Oryzias latipes: one gene and its partner. The protein of the gene in region 1 purifies or fractionates together with the protein of each later gene. This does not show direct contact. Links are inferred from orthologs where the notes say so. Each region holds a gene or a part of one and is shown on either strand. Other genes may lie near its edges. The genes, in order: alpha-parvin and rsu1.

Region 1 (7,266 bases):
CCAACAGTAGTCAAATTTCCACCGACACCCTGTAGGTTAACAGCATCGGTGGCGGTCGTTGTTAACCCGGGCCTCGACCGATCCGGTATGTCTAAAGTGTTGTGGATGATTCGCATGGTTATTTTGGCAATTTTTACGCCGGATGCCCTTCCTGACGCAACCCTCTCTATTTATCCGGGCTTGGGACCGGCACAGAGGCAACTGGCTTGCAACCCCTGTGGCTAGATTGAAGACTTCACAAAGCAAGTCTTACAATTAACAGCTACACGAACACCCGTTTGATCGATCAGCAGTGAAACAAACAAAAAAAATCAAACCAAAATTGCAATAGAAATTCAAATGAACACTTATTTGCAAAAAGAAAAGTGAAATATGTTCTACAATATTGGCATGTTGTGCAATTCATCCTCATAAATAATATAGTTAACAGAACGAAATAATGTACAAAACTGATATTCTCGTTAATGTGTCCGTCTGGCGGAGCAGATATAGGTGCAATTAGACAGACAGACAGACAGACAGACAGACAGACAGACAGACAGACAGACAGACAGACAGACAGACAGACAGACAGACAGACAGACAGACAGACAGACAGACAGACAGACAGACGCACTAATTGTCCACTGGGGAAAGTTGTTTTCATATTAAAACATTTCTTCATAAGCTATGGAATTATGGTATTCATGGATATGCCTTTAGTTTGTTTTATTTTTGATAAAACAATGTATGGCGTATGTCTCAACCATTCAGAAAGCAACAAGAAATTACATTTGCGCTGATCAATTTCCCATTTCCACGTGGATTATTACCGACATCTGTAGCTTGTCAGATGTAATTAAATGGATGGAAATAAAATGCCCCATCACAATGCGTAATGACGCACAATGGCTGATCTTGCACTCTTAGAAGATGTGGCAAATGGAAGATTTCGGAGTGAACGCATCTTTAGACAGCAAGAAGACTTGCTGGCAAACGAGGACGAGTGGCTTATGAGCTGGTTCCGACTTCCTCGAGCCGTCCTCTTGGACCTCTGCGGGCTTTTGGGCCCGGCGTTACAGAAGAGTACTCGGAGGAACCACGCGTGTCACCCGGTGCATCTGGCGCTCCGGTGCCACCACCCCCACCCCCTACCCCCCCAACCCCGGTGGCAGAGACACTCTGGCAATGGAGCGCTAGATGTTTTTTTGCCTCGACTTTGATGTCCGACCATTTCTTTTTTATTTCGGCCACGGTCCGAGGTTGTGAGGCTACAGCATTTACGGCGTCTGCCACCGTTTGCCACTCACGGGCCTTTTTGGCATTAGTAATGCCCACACTGTGCCCTCCAAACAACATTTTTCTCCTCTTTTCCACCTCGCCAACGATAACTTCTACTTCACATTGAGTGAAGTTACGTATTTTTGATTTTCTCTCAGTGTTTGGCATGGTTTCGCAATCAATGAATATTAACTTGTGGGCGTTTCACGGACTATTTATGGGCAACTATGGGTGTGTCATGAAGCCGCAAAAGCTGCGCTACATTTAAAATCGGTTGTGATTTATTAAGGGAAAGATGCGTAGGATGTGCGTGCGCACGGTTTTAGAAATCCGAATATTTCTGTGCGTACGCACGTCCTATGTTTCATCCGTACGCCACTTCTGACGCAAATCCTACGCAAAGTTTTATAAATGAAGCCCCTGGACGTCCACAGAAGACAGCAGTGGTGGATGATGGGAGAATCATTTCCATGGTGAAGAGGAACCCGTTCATAACAGCCAACCAAGTGAACAACACTCTCCAGGAGGTAGACGTATCAATATCCGTGTCTACCATCAAAAGAAGACTGCATGAAAGTAGATCCAGAGGGTACACTGCAAGATGCAAGCCACTCATAAGCCTCAAGAATAGGAAGGCTAGATTGGACTTTTCTAAAAAGCATCTAAAAAAGCCAGCACAGTTCTGGAAAAACATTCTTTGGACAGATGAAACCAAAATCAACCTCTACCAGAATGATGGCAAGAGAAAAGTATGGAGAAGCTCCTGATCCAAAGCACACTACATCATCAGTAAAACACGGTGGAGGCAGTGTGATGGTCTGGGCATGCATGGCTGCTAGTGGCAGTGGGACACTAGTGTTTATTGATGACGTGACACAGGACAGAAGCAGCCCAATGAATTCTGAGGTGTTCAGAGACAAACTGTCTGCACAGATCCAGGTGAATGCAGCCAAACTGATTGGCCGGCGTTTCATAATCCAGATGGACAACGACCCAAAACATACAGCCAAAGCAACTCAGGAGTTTATTAAAGCAAAGAAGTGGAATATTCTTGAATGGCCAAGTCAGTCACCTGATCTTAACCCAATTAAGCAGCATTTCACTTGTTGAAGACTAAACTTCAGACAGAAAGGCCCAAAAACAAACAGCAACTGAAAGCCGCTGCAGTAAAGGCCTGGCAGAGCATTCAGAAGGAGAAAACCAGCATCTGGTGATGTCCATGAGTTCAAGACTTCAGGCTGTCATTGCCAACAAAGGCTTTTCAACCAAATATTAGGAATGACCATTTGGTTTTCAGTTATTTCATTTGTCTAATTACTTACAAGCTAATGAAATTAAGGGATTGTGTTTAGAAAATGCTTTAGTTTTTCACATTTTTATACAATCTTTTTGTTCAACCCATGGAATAAAAGCTGAGAGTCTGCACTTCAATGGCATCTGAGTTGTTTTATTTAAAATTCACTGTGGTAATGCCAAGAAACTAAATTAGAAAGAATGTGTCTCTGTCCAAATATTTATGGTCTTGACTGTGTCTCTTAAATCTGGTTGTGTGATAATTCTAAAAATGTTTGTTTGTAAATAGATTAAATAGTTAGATTTCATTTTGATTGCACCAGTAGCACCGCCCCTTTTTTCATCATTATATTTTCTAATTAAAACAGAATTCCTTAACAGCAGAATGCTAAAAGAAGTGGTTGATTGTTACAGATGGGAGAGGCGGAGCTGCGGTCGCTGCGGTGCAGCATTAGAAAGCTTTCAGCCAGGTTCTCATGTCCAATTATGGACACCAATACAGAGTGTGAAACTGGAACAATCAATCAATCAATCAATCACATTGGGCAGCGCGGACTGCCCTCTGGTAACGGGCCAGGCTCAACTGATCAGCTGGTTCTTAACACACACACACACACACAAAGTGTGAGTTCAGAGGTGATGGTGCTTTTGCTGCAGCAGCCCCCAAACTTTGCAGCCCCCCCATGTCAGACTGTTTGTTGAAGTCTTACTTTCAAGCCCACGGTTTAAAAGCAGCTCTTAATACCACAGAAATGTTTACTCATCTTATCCAACTTGATTTTGTGAGATTGTGGAGATGATTCAATTTAATTCAATTATACTTTATTGATCCCAAAAGGGGAACATTGAAGAGCTTTATAAATGAAGGTAGACTGGAGTTTTTTCTAAATGTATTTAAAGCTTTCCTTTTTAGAAGACTCCAAACCTACAGGTTCAGCTGAGCTCCAACTGTGATTAGCGACTCCTCTCCGCAGCACTGTGGTGTTCTGCACAGGCCTTCTTCAGGGACAGCCTCCTTTTGGGCTTCAGCCAGCATCCCCTGCCAAGCTGCTGGTAAAATAGGCCTCGGTGCTCGGCACCAGCACCGCCTCACAAGCACACAGAGACGGTGCTGGCCCGGAAGAGCGGCCCTCAGCGCCTTTAATCTCCTGCTGCACAGAGGAACACTGGAGTGCTTTGCAGGCCCCCGTGTGTGCGTGGCGGGTGTTTGAAGGCCAGAAACCCTGCAGTGTGTTTGTGTGTGTGTGTGTGTGGGGGGGGGGTTCAGGAAAGCCATCCTGCTTCACGTCAGAGCGGATCTCTCCTCTGTCAGATGGACTAAGTTCACAAACGGTTTCAATGGGCAAAGCTTCTAGTCCTTCCCCATGAGTGCACACACACACACACACACACACACACACACATGCACACAGCACAACAGGGGTGAATAGAAAGAGTCTTCCGGCGCCCCTGCCCCTTGATTGGTTTTCCTCCTCTCACAACTGTCTTTTTTCTGTGGCTGTGGAATCGCTCCTGTTTTGTTCCTCCAGGTTTTCTCATCAGGGAGCCTCGATTTCAGGTGTTCCTGCTGTCGTGTGCTGGCTGGACAGATGGGGACCCCTCCCTGGCATTAGGGCTCTTCCCTGGATAACCCCGGCTGCACTCTGATGGCTCGCCACGTTTCCACGTGCAGCTGCAGCATCTCCTCTGACTGCGTTAACGTGTTCGTCTGTCTGCGCAGGTCCACAACGTGTCCTTCTCCTTTGAGCTGATGCAAGACGGCGGTCTGGAGCGGCCCAAGCCCCGCCCCGAGGGTACGCCGCATGTTTACATCACTTTGGCTCTCTTGTAGCTTCACTTGTAGCCTTATATTTAGTGCCTGGATTGAATACTTTCTGTTTTTCTGTTGTTCAGTCGTTTTATTGTCCTCACCTATGAAAGCCTTGATGCAGCAAGTTATCGTCGTTTCAACAGGATTTTACAAAATAAGAGCATGAATGGCGGTCTAGCGGGTCCTGGCCTTAGTCTGACAGCTTAAGACGGATAAATGTACACAATGAATCATGTTTGGAGCTCAATCTGTGGGGTGGAGGGGTTATAAATGTATGGATTCCACAGATTTATCAGGTTTTACAGCAGTTCTTCACGTGCTTTGATTAAAAAAAAAAAGAATTTAAAGCTTTATGCTTGTTTAAATGAATGATTTTCAATTTCAGGAAATTAAAAGTTAAACCTGGAGAGCGCAAGAACAGTTTTTCTTTTGGGCTTTTAAAGTAAATTTGACCTTTTTTTGTCAATTTGTTTTGGGTAGCAGCAATTAGGAGCTACCAAAAATACATATATACATAAATACAAACATTTAACACAATAGAGGTAAATAAATGAAATTTAAAAACAGATTTGAGCCAGTGGGTTCTCCAGGGTCATTAAACAGCAAAATGGCGCACTAAACGATAATGACATGTATTCGTCTGGTTTCTCAGTGTTTCTTTCATGAAGCCTTTTTTAAATGGATGCTGGTGTTTCTGCAGACATCGTGAACTGTGACCTGAAGTCTACGCTGCGCGTCCTCTACAACCTCTTCTCCAGGTACAGGAACGTGGACTGAGCTCTCTGTGGCTGCAGCTTCACCTGAACACACGCCACTTTCTGCACGCATGAAGGCCTGCAGCTTTTCTGCTGCAGAGCTCTTCCACTCACCATCATGTATTTATTTGAGATTCGGAAACTGTTCCGTCTTTCTTAAGTGCCTTTTTGAGCTCAACCTCCTGGATGCTGCGATGGATGAGCTCCTTTCTTTTTTCTTTTTGCTGTAATGCTACAGAAGAAAACATGGAAGCCAAGTCTTTTTCTGTATGTAGATGTTTAGTTGTAGCTGAACTTGCATAAAAGCGTTGCAGATGTGGGACCAGCTCAGTCTGACTGAATCTAACTGCGTTTTTGCTTTCCCTCCTTTGTTTGGAGCATCAAACAGGCTTTATGTTCAGATGCGTTACATGTAATAAACAGTTCTTTGGCTGAACGCTGAACAATTTCTCCTTATTATTTCTGACCTCTCAAAGCCAGCCAAGAGGAATGCTTCTCCAACAAAAGAAAAACTGGGGTCAGAGTGGTTCCAATTTTGTTGGCGCAGAAAGACAAGTGAGCCTCCACAACAATTTTCTTTTCACTAAATTGATGGTTTGTTAGAAAAGCAGCGCGAAAGCTCTGTGAATGGAAGGTGACCCCGGAGTGGCTCCAGGAAGATGGCACACTGGCTGAATGTGTGAAATGCTTCATTCTCCTTACATTCCACAGTAACCTTTGTGGGGGGTATTATTGATAATGTTGCAGTGCTGCAGAGGCATTTGGATGGACATGTTTGTGATTCTTCTCTGCTTTTCAATTACTTTTAGTGTCCTATGCCCCCAAAACAGGAGAATTAAGGGTTAAAGTCAGTTTTGTGTTGAGGATAAACCCTGAGGTGAATTTACACGACTCACAGTAAGTTGGGGCTATAGTGAAAAACTTAGTGGATGTTGTAGACAGCGTCTGTTGATGATTGGGTTCGATTGAACCGATTCGGTAGGCTGCTGGGACAAATAATCATAAACTTTGAATGGAGAGTTTATTTCCGACTCTAAGTCCACCCAGATTGGTCTGTCATCTTTGTTTAATAAAAGTGTTGTTATTTGTGCACTGGTGAAGGCCTCTTTGGAGAACTGCAAATTTGGTAATCTTAATCCTCTGAATTCTATTCTAATCTGGAATTTGTTCAAAGTAATTCAGGGCCTTTTCCCAGCCCAACTAAAGCTGTTTACCATTTTCTCAATGGATTTAATTGGATTGTGGAAATGTAAGTGGTAACATGTTAAATAAATAGTTCAGTTTTGGTGCTATAATAATTTTTATTGCCTGGACCCTACCCCATAATGAAATCTGCAGTTTATCCCTACCATTCAGAAATACATTTATTTTATTGATTGTTGGTTCAAAGTTATCCTGTATGATATTGTCCAATCTCAGGTTCAAAAGTAAACCCAGGTATTACAGATTTTTGGAGTCCATGGTAGCTTCAAATCCTGAATCTGAGTATTCTAACAAGATTTCGATAGAGGCATTATTTCACTTTTGGTCCAGTTAATCTTGAAGCCTGATAGCTCTGAATATACCTTAATTAGGTTAAATAAGTGGGGTAATAACTCTTGGGGATCTGAGAGTAAAAGCATTATGTCGTCTGCAAAAGTCAGCGTTTTGTTATCAAGGCCTCCCTCCCATTGTTACCCCGTTTACTGAGTCAGTCTGTCTGATAGCTTGTGCCAGTGGTTCAAGTGTACTAATAAAAAGAGGGATCCCCCTGTTTGGTGCCACGTTCCAGATTAAATTGTGACGATCTTAATCCATTAGTTGTTACGGCGGCCTTTGGGTGAGTGTATATCATTTTAATAACTTCCCGAAAGGATATTCCAAATCCAAAAACTCCAGGTACATATTGTAGGTAATCCTAGCAGACCCTGTCAAACGCTTTTGCTGCATCTAGCGACAGAGCAGCCACTGAGCATTTTAAGTATTGGCATTTTCAGATTAAATGTGAGAGGCGCCTTAAACTACCAGAGGAATTTCTGCCCTGGACAAAACCGACCTGGTCAGGTTTAATAACTAATCCTACAACTTAGTTCATTCGCCATGCAAAAACGTTTGTTAAAAGTTTAGCGTGACAGCACAAAAGGCTTACTGGTCTATAGCTCGCAAACA
Region 2 (7,608 bases), on another chromosome or scaffold:
TGATAAACTGCAGAGTTTACCAGTTTGCTTAAATGTTAATTGTTTGGCACAGTGAGGTGGACAAAAGCTCATTTTGTATCTGTGGCCTTAAAGTAAATGACGCTACTCCGCTTTGGCTGCATGCAGAAACTTTCATTGAACATGGAATTCTACGTTCACGCCGTGCTCCGAAACGACCACTTCCAATTAAAAATCTATGTAAACACACATATATGCATGTTTCAGGATTCCACGTTGGATACTCTCGCATTCACACGCCACTACGCAAGACTATTTTTGGGCTCTACCGGCAAAACGCACGGCAATTGAACATGCATCAAAAGTTAAACCAGTCAGGAACACGAAGTAGTGACGTGTGGGTGGAGTCCTTTTCAAAACACAGGCGTGGTAACCATTGAGTATTGATCCTAAAAGAAAAAATAATAAATGCAGTTTCTGGAATTCTATGACGCCAAGCCCTTCATATGTCAGAATAGACGTGTGAAAGTAAAGGCCCAGAGCAAGATTCCCCATATTACCTGTTTATAGAGGGTTAGCTCTAATATTAGCTAGCGTCTTAAGCGGTTAAGGTGAAAAGCCGCTGCCATCCATCTCCTCTGATCGGTTCCTCTCTCTATGGATGTGATTGCAGCATTTCCAGAGCACATCTCCACCATCCAGCGGTACCGCGTGTTGGGAAACAGTCTCAACGTTCTACTGGTGGCCAAGCTGGTGCAGTTGCTGTTTTCCATACAGCCAACTCACAGCTGTGAGAACTCAAGCAGTGCTGCTCCACAACCCCCAGAACCAAGGCCAGGCTCAGCTGTGGACACTTAAATGAATCAAAAGGACATCTTGTAGTGGTCCTCCTGTGAGCCTCATCCTGGCACAGTCCAGTGTGATACCATTGTTACAGGCCCTGCTGGCTCTATTGTTTGATGAACGATGAGGCTTCATAGTAGGACTCCAGCAATCCATCTTCATCATAAAGGATCTCATCATCACAGTCCTGGTACTCCTCACCTTCGTTTAGTCAATGAAAGCTTCAACTTGTGAAGGAATTTAAAAAGCCTTCCCGTCCCAGCGGGGCTCTGTTTCTCGTAAGCTGCTGTTTTGACTCCTCAAAGCCAAATGCTGCAATGTAAGTTGATGGGGAACATGAATGGAATGAATAGAAGAAATGAATTGATTTAATCCACCATGTAGTGATCTTTGATTTCTTTGGTATGGGCATCCAGTGTTCATGGAGAAAAACATGGTCCATACACAGAAGAAGACACTTTTGTTAAGTTTATCTCTTTTCTCCCTGACATTTAATTTCAAACTCGATTTGTACTTTTGTAAAACCACAATAAAAATGGAAAGAATGCTCTGAGTTCCTGGAACAAGAACATGTTAAACAACACTTTGTGGTGTTGTGTTCATCCATGTCTCCTCCTGAGCTGCTCTGACTCTACTCACTGATTTCTTCACGTCAGCGTGAACCTTTGTTTGTCAAAGGTTTGCTTGTCCTGGTTGTCCTTTAATGTGCAGTGAATGAATCATTTCTTACTCTACACTAGAGTTGGGGTCTGCCCCCGGGACCCAGAGGGTTTCATTATTTTTCATTTTGTCTTTAAAACCTGATGTCAAATTTTACATTAAAGTTTCTAAAAACTGATCACCGTATAGTGGAGGTAATGTGAAGGAACTGCAAAAAAAAGGTCTTTTGATTTTTGCTTTTAGCTGCAGGTGGCAGTTCCTGGCCAATGACTGAAAAGATCTTTAGTCACATGGTTTTGTTTACAAGCTTTAGTCCGCAACAGAATGGTCCGCTTAATGCTGTTTCTTCAGGGAGAAGAGAGCCAGTGAGAAAACCGAGTCTTCGACTTAAAAAACATAAGGCTGCTATTTACAGAAAAACATGAGTTTTCCTCGACATACGGATTTATTAAGACCGTTTGTTCTCACTTTAGTAGAAGCTGCTCTGTTTAATACACAGCAACTGACTTTTGAATGAGTCACACTGATAAAAAAGCTGCAGACACGGTGGATTCATGTTTATTATTTTTAGAAAATACCAGTTTTAGGACGTTTGTGTCATTTTGCTCAATGTTATATTTGCGTTCTATGAAAAATACACTGTATTTTAGCTTTTATTGAATTTACACAAATCAGAAACCACTTCTACAAATCAATAATTTTTCTTCACTGAATCCTTTTCATCTGCAAAAAAAAAGGAACAAAAGAAACTAGTAATGCGTTCTGATGTTTGAAACAAAATTTATTGTAGTAGCGTTTTAATGTGTACATTTTTTTTTGAGAATATACTTTTTCGTGATTTTCACATTTTTTGGAAAGCGTTGATAATTTCAGATAGAATCTGCTCAATTGGTTTGTGTATAAATCACAGGTTGTAGATGTGCATCGTGTTGGGTCTGGACTTAAAAGGATATCCTGTGCAACCAATGGGTGGTGGGTCGGTCAGACCATCTGTGGAAACGTCTGGACAGAAAGGCAACTCAGCGACCGATGTTTTTATTGTCTCTGTTTTCACATTTATTCTTGGCTATATTCAATTCAAGGACTTACACATTCAAGTAGTTATTTAGCCCAATATCACAACATAGTCATCTCAATGGGCTTCAAATAAATAATTGTACGAAAACACAGAATCAGTCATAAAAAATGAACAATAGCTACTTACTAAGATAAAATAAACTAGACTAGCCAAATCCTGGACACAGTGGTTTATGCTCTCTACATGATCTTGGATGACCTGACAGAGAACTGCAATCAACCAAGTAATGCTTTCCCATTGACTGTAAACATACGGTCACATTTACAGTCATTAAGTTTTCCATTGCAGCCGCCTAAAAAAATATTAAATACACAATAAAATCCTCTAACTAAACTTTGTTTTTTAAAGAAACAGATCTTAACATGTATTTAGCCTCTATGGAAAAATATAATTTGCGACCGCGAAGCATTGTGGGATAGATGAGGATCTTTCCCCTCGGGAAGGATGTCCCGGTTCTGCCTTCAGACGAGATCAAACTATTAATGGCTGCCGCTTCAATATCGATCATTGGTGTAAAAAGACGAATATATAATGAAAACTTTTAAAGAAAGGCTCAGGAATCGTGCTGGTGATCCGTGGAGTTAGCTCGGACCCGCCCGCTGCAGAAACAGGAAGTTTCCTTTTATGGAGCGTAGGGTGTCAGTACAACTTCCGGTTCGCTGTGAGTTGGAAGGGAAGTTTTTATCCTGAAGAAAAATCCCTAAAATCCTGAAACCCTGCTCCACAGAAGAACGGTAAGCCTCCACGGACTCTTTTTCCTGAGGCGGTGCGCAGGCGCGGACGGTCAGAGCCGCGCTCGCGGTGGACCGGAAGCACCAAGCTGACGCCGTGTCCGTGTCGTTTCAGAAAGATGTCCAAGTCCCTGAGGAAGATCGTGGACGAGAGTCGAGACAAGAGTCTCCCCGAGGTGGACATGTCCGACCGGGGCATCTCCAACATGCTGGACGTCCCGGGACTGTGTAAGACGCTCGTGCTCATACGGGGTCTGGGGCGTGGCCGCGGACGTGGGGTCCATCGGCCCAGCAGAGTCCCGGAAAGAGAGAAAACTGGAAGCAGGATTTGTTGTGGGGGTGGGGGGTACCTGCAAACACAGGACCCGTTCAGAGCTCCATGTGAGAAAGTCTCCCCGCATCATGGGCTGCTGCGGGGTTCCTCTGCTCCTCCTGCGGGGGCTCCTCTGCGGGGCTGCAGGAGTTTTAAACTGCCACTCATAGGATGGGTTTGCATCAGGAGCGTGCGTGCGCGTGCGGCCCTGCATCCTTACCTGATAAGAAACAGGAACTTAAGGCTCCGCTGCACATCTGGAACAGGGAGAGCAGCCAGCTGTGTGCGTCACAGTGACGTCAGGGACGTCTAGAGCTTTTCAAGTTGGATACAATTGTAGAACTGCAGGGACGTTTTTGGACTGGATGTAGTGGTTCTGGACTGGATGCAGAAGTTTCAGACTTGATGCAGAGGTTCTGGACTAGATGCAAAGGAACTGGACTGGATGCAGAGGTTCTGGACTGGATGCAGAGGTTCTGAACTGGATGCAGAGGTTCTGAACTGGATGCAGAGGTTCTGGACTAGATGCAGAGGTTCTGGACTAGATGCAGGGGTACTGGACTGGATGCAGCGGTACTGGACTGGATGCAGAGATTCTGGACTGGATGCAGAAGTTTTAGACTGCATGCAGAGGTTCTGGACCGGATGCAGAGGTTCTGGACCGGATGCAGAGGTTCTGGACTGGATGTAGAGTTCTTAGACTGGATGCAAAGGTTCTGAACTGGATGCAGAGGTTCTGGACTGGATGCAGAGGTCTTAAACTGGATGCAGAGGTACTGAACTGGATGCAGAGGTTCTGGACTGGATGCAGAGGTACTGGACCGGATGCAGAGGTTCTGGACCGGATGCAGAAGTTCTGGACTGGATGTAGAGCTCTTAGACTGGATGCAAAGGTTCTGGACTGGTTGTAGTGGTTCTGGACTGGATGTAATGGTTCTGGATGTAGTGGTTCTGGACTGAATGCAGAGGTTCTGGACTGGATGCAGAGGTTCTGGACCGGGTGTAGAGTTCTTAGACTGGATTCAGAGGTTCTGAACTGGATGCAGAGGTTCTGGACTGGATGCAAAGGTTCTGGACTGGATGCAGTGGTCTTAGCCTGGATGCAGAGAATCTGGACCGGATGCAGACGTTCTGGACTGGCTTTAGTGGTTTTGGACTGGATGTAGTGGTTCTGGACTGGTTGTAGTGGTTCTGGACTGAATGTACTGGTTCTGGACTGGATTCAGTGCATTTGGACTGGTTGTAGTGGTTCTGGACTGGATGTAGTGGTTCTGGATGTAGTGGTTCTGGACTAAATTTAGAGGTTCTGGACTGGATGTAGTGGTTCTGGACTGGTTGTAGTGGTTCTGGACTGGATGTAGTGGTTCTGGACTGGATGTAGTGGTTTTGGACTGGTTTTAGTGGTTCTGGACTGGTTGTAGTGATTCTGGACTGGTTGTAGTGGTTCTGGACTGGTTGTAGTGGTTCTGGACTGGATTTAGTGGTTTTGGACTGGTTGTAGTGGTTATGGACTGGATGTAGTGGTTTTTGACTGGATTTAGTGGTTTTGGACTGGTTGTAGTGGTTCTGGACTGGTTTTAGTGGTTCTGGACTGGATGTAGTGGTTCTGGACTGGATTTAGTGGTTTTAGACTGGTTGTAGTGGTTCTGGACTGGATATAGTAGTTCTGGACTAAATTTAGTGGTTTTGGACTGGATTTAGTGGTTTTGGACTGGTTGTAGTGGTTCTGGACTGGTTGTAGTGGTTCTGGACTGGATGTAGTGGTTCTGGATGTAGTGGTTCTGGACTAAATGTAGAGGTTCTGGACTGGATGTAGTGGTTCTGGACTGGTTGTAGTGGTTCTGGACTGGATGTAGTGGTTCTGGACTGGATGTAGTGGTTTTGGACTGGTTTTAGTGGTTCTGGACTGGTTGTAGTGATTCTGGACTGGATGTAGTGGTTCTGGATGTAGTGGTTCTGGACTGAATGTAGAGGTTCTGGACTGGATGTAGTGGTTCTGGACTGGATGTAGTGGTTCTGGACTGGATTTAGTGGTTTTGGACTGGTTGTAGTGGTTCTGGACTGGATGTAGTGGTTTTGGACTGGTTTTAGTGGTTCTGGACTGGTTGTAGTGATTCTGGACTGGATGTAGTGGTTCTGGATGTAGTGGTTCTGGATGTAGTGGTTCTGGACTGAATGTAGTGGTTCTGGACTGGATGTAGTGGTTCTGGATGTAGTGGTTCTGGACTGAATGTAGAGGTTCTGGACTGGATGTAGTGGTTCTTGACTGGATTTAGTGGTTTTGGACTGGTTGTAGTGGTTCTGGACTGGTTGTAGTGGTTTTGGACTGGATGTAGGGGTTCTGGACTGGATTTAGTGGTTTTGGACTGGATGTAGTGGTTTTGGACTGGTTGTAGTGGTTTTGGACTGGATGTAGTGGTTCTGGACTGGTTGTAGTGGTTTTGGACTGGATGTAGGGGTTCTGGACTGGATTTAGTGGTTTTGGACTGGATGTAGTGGTTTTGGACTGGTTGTAGTGGTTTTGGACTGGATGTAGTGGTTCTGGACTGGATTTAGTGGTTCTGGACTGGTTGTAGTGGCTCTGGACTGGATGTAGTGGTTCTGGACTGGATTTAGTGGTTCTGGACTGGCTTTAGTGGTTTTGGACTGGTTGTAGTGGTTCTGGACTGGTTGTAGTGGTTCTGGACTGAATGTAGTGGTTTTGGACTGCTTGTAGTGGTTCTGGACTGGATGTAGTGGTTTTGGACTGGATGTAGTGGTTTTGGACTGGTTGTAGTGGTTCTGGACTGGTTGTAGTGGTTCTGGACTGAATGTAGTGGTTTTGGACTGGTTGTAGTGGTTCTGGACTGGTTGTAGTGGTTCTGGACTGGATGTAGTGGTTTTGGACTGGATGTAGTGGTTTTGGACTGGATGTAGTGGTTTTGGACTGTTTGTAGTGGTTTTGGACTGGATGTAGTGGTTCTGGACTGAATGTAGTGGTTCTGGACTGCATGTAGTGGTTCTGGACTGGATGTAGTGGTTCTGGACTGGATGTAGTGGTTCTGGACTGGATTTAGTGGTTCTGGACTGGTTGTAGTGGCTCTGGACTGGATGTAGTGGTTCTGGACTGGATTTAGTGGTTCTGGACTGGATTTAGTGGTTTTGGACTGGTTGTAGTGGTTCTGGACTGGTTGTAGTGGTTCTGGACTGAATGTAGTGGTTTTGGACTGGTTGTAGTGGTTCTGGACTGGTTGTAGTGGTTCTGGACTGGATGTAGTGGTTTTGGACTGGTTGTAGTGGTTCTGGACTGGATGTAGTGGTTTTGGACTGGTTGTAGTGGTTTTGGACTGGATGTAGTGGTTCTGGACTGAATGTAGTGGTTCTGGACTGAATGTAGTGGTTCTGGACTGGTTGTAGTGGTTCTGGACTGGTTGTAGTGGTTTTGGACTGGATGTAGTGGTTTTGGACTGGTTGTAGTGGTTATGGACTGGATGTAGTGGTTCTTGACTGGATTTAGTGGTTTTGGACTGGTTGTAGTGGTTCTGGGCTGGTTTTAGTGGTTCTGGACTGGATGTAGTGGTTCTGGACTGGATTTAGTGGTTTTAGACTGGTTGTAGTGGTTCTGGACTGGATATAGTAGTTCTGGACTAAATTTAGTGGTTTTGGACTGGATTTAGTGGTTTTGGACTGGTTGTAGTGGTTCTGGACTGGTTGTAGTGGTTCTGGACTGGATTTAGTGGTTTTAGACTGGTTGTAGTGGTTCTGGACTGGATATAGTAGTTCTGGACTAAATTTAGTGGTTTTGGACTGGTTGTAGTGGTTTTGGACTGGTTGTAGTGGTTCTGGACTGGATATAGTAGTTCTGGACTAAATTTAGTGGTTTTGGACTGGTTGTAGTGGTTCTGGACTGGTTGTAGTGGTTCTGGACTGGATGTAGTGGTTCTGGTTGTAGTGGTTCTGGACTGGTTGTAGTGGTTCTGGACTGGATGTAGTGGTTCTGGATGTAGTGGTTCTGGACTAAATGTAGAGGTTCTGGACTGGATGTA

The links.
Region 2: the proteins of alpha-parvin (region 1) and rsu1 purify together in Homo sapiens (affinity purification with mass spectrometry; 3 studies listed by BioGRID and IntAct, counting the BioPlex papers as one, with this or other methods). This does not show direct contact. The link is inferred for Oryzias latipes from reciprocal best matches to the Homo sapiens genes PARVA and RSU1.

What each region holds. Positions count from the first base shown.
Region 1 is NC_019864.2:716,882-724,147, forward strand, and holds the end of alpha-parvin, read left to right. Parts: intron 1-4,273; coding exon 4,274-4,346; intron 4,347-5,063; coding exon 5,064-5,140; 3' UTR 5,141-5,561; downstream 5,562-7,266. UniProt on the Homo sapiens protein: Plays a role in sarcomere organization and in smooth muscle cell contraction. Required for normal development of the embryonic cardiovascular system, and for normal septation of the heart outflow tract.
Region 2 is NC_019878.2:1,154,675-1,162,282, forward strand, and holds the start of rsu1 (ras suppressor protein 1), read left to right. Parts: upstream 1-2,604; 5' UTR 2,605-3,273; intron 3,274-3,385; 5' UTR 3,386-3,389; coding exon 3,390-3,498; intron 3,499-7,608. Other genes in the region: trdmt1 (tRNA (cytosine(38)-C(5))-methyltransferase), read left to right, coding at 632-816. UniProt on the Homo sapiens protein: Potentially plays a role in the Ras signal transduction pathway. Capable of suppressing v-Ras transformation in vitro.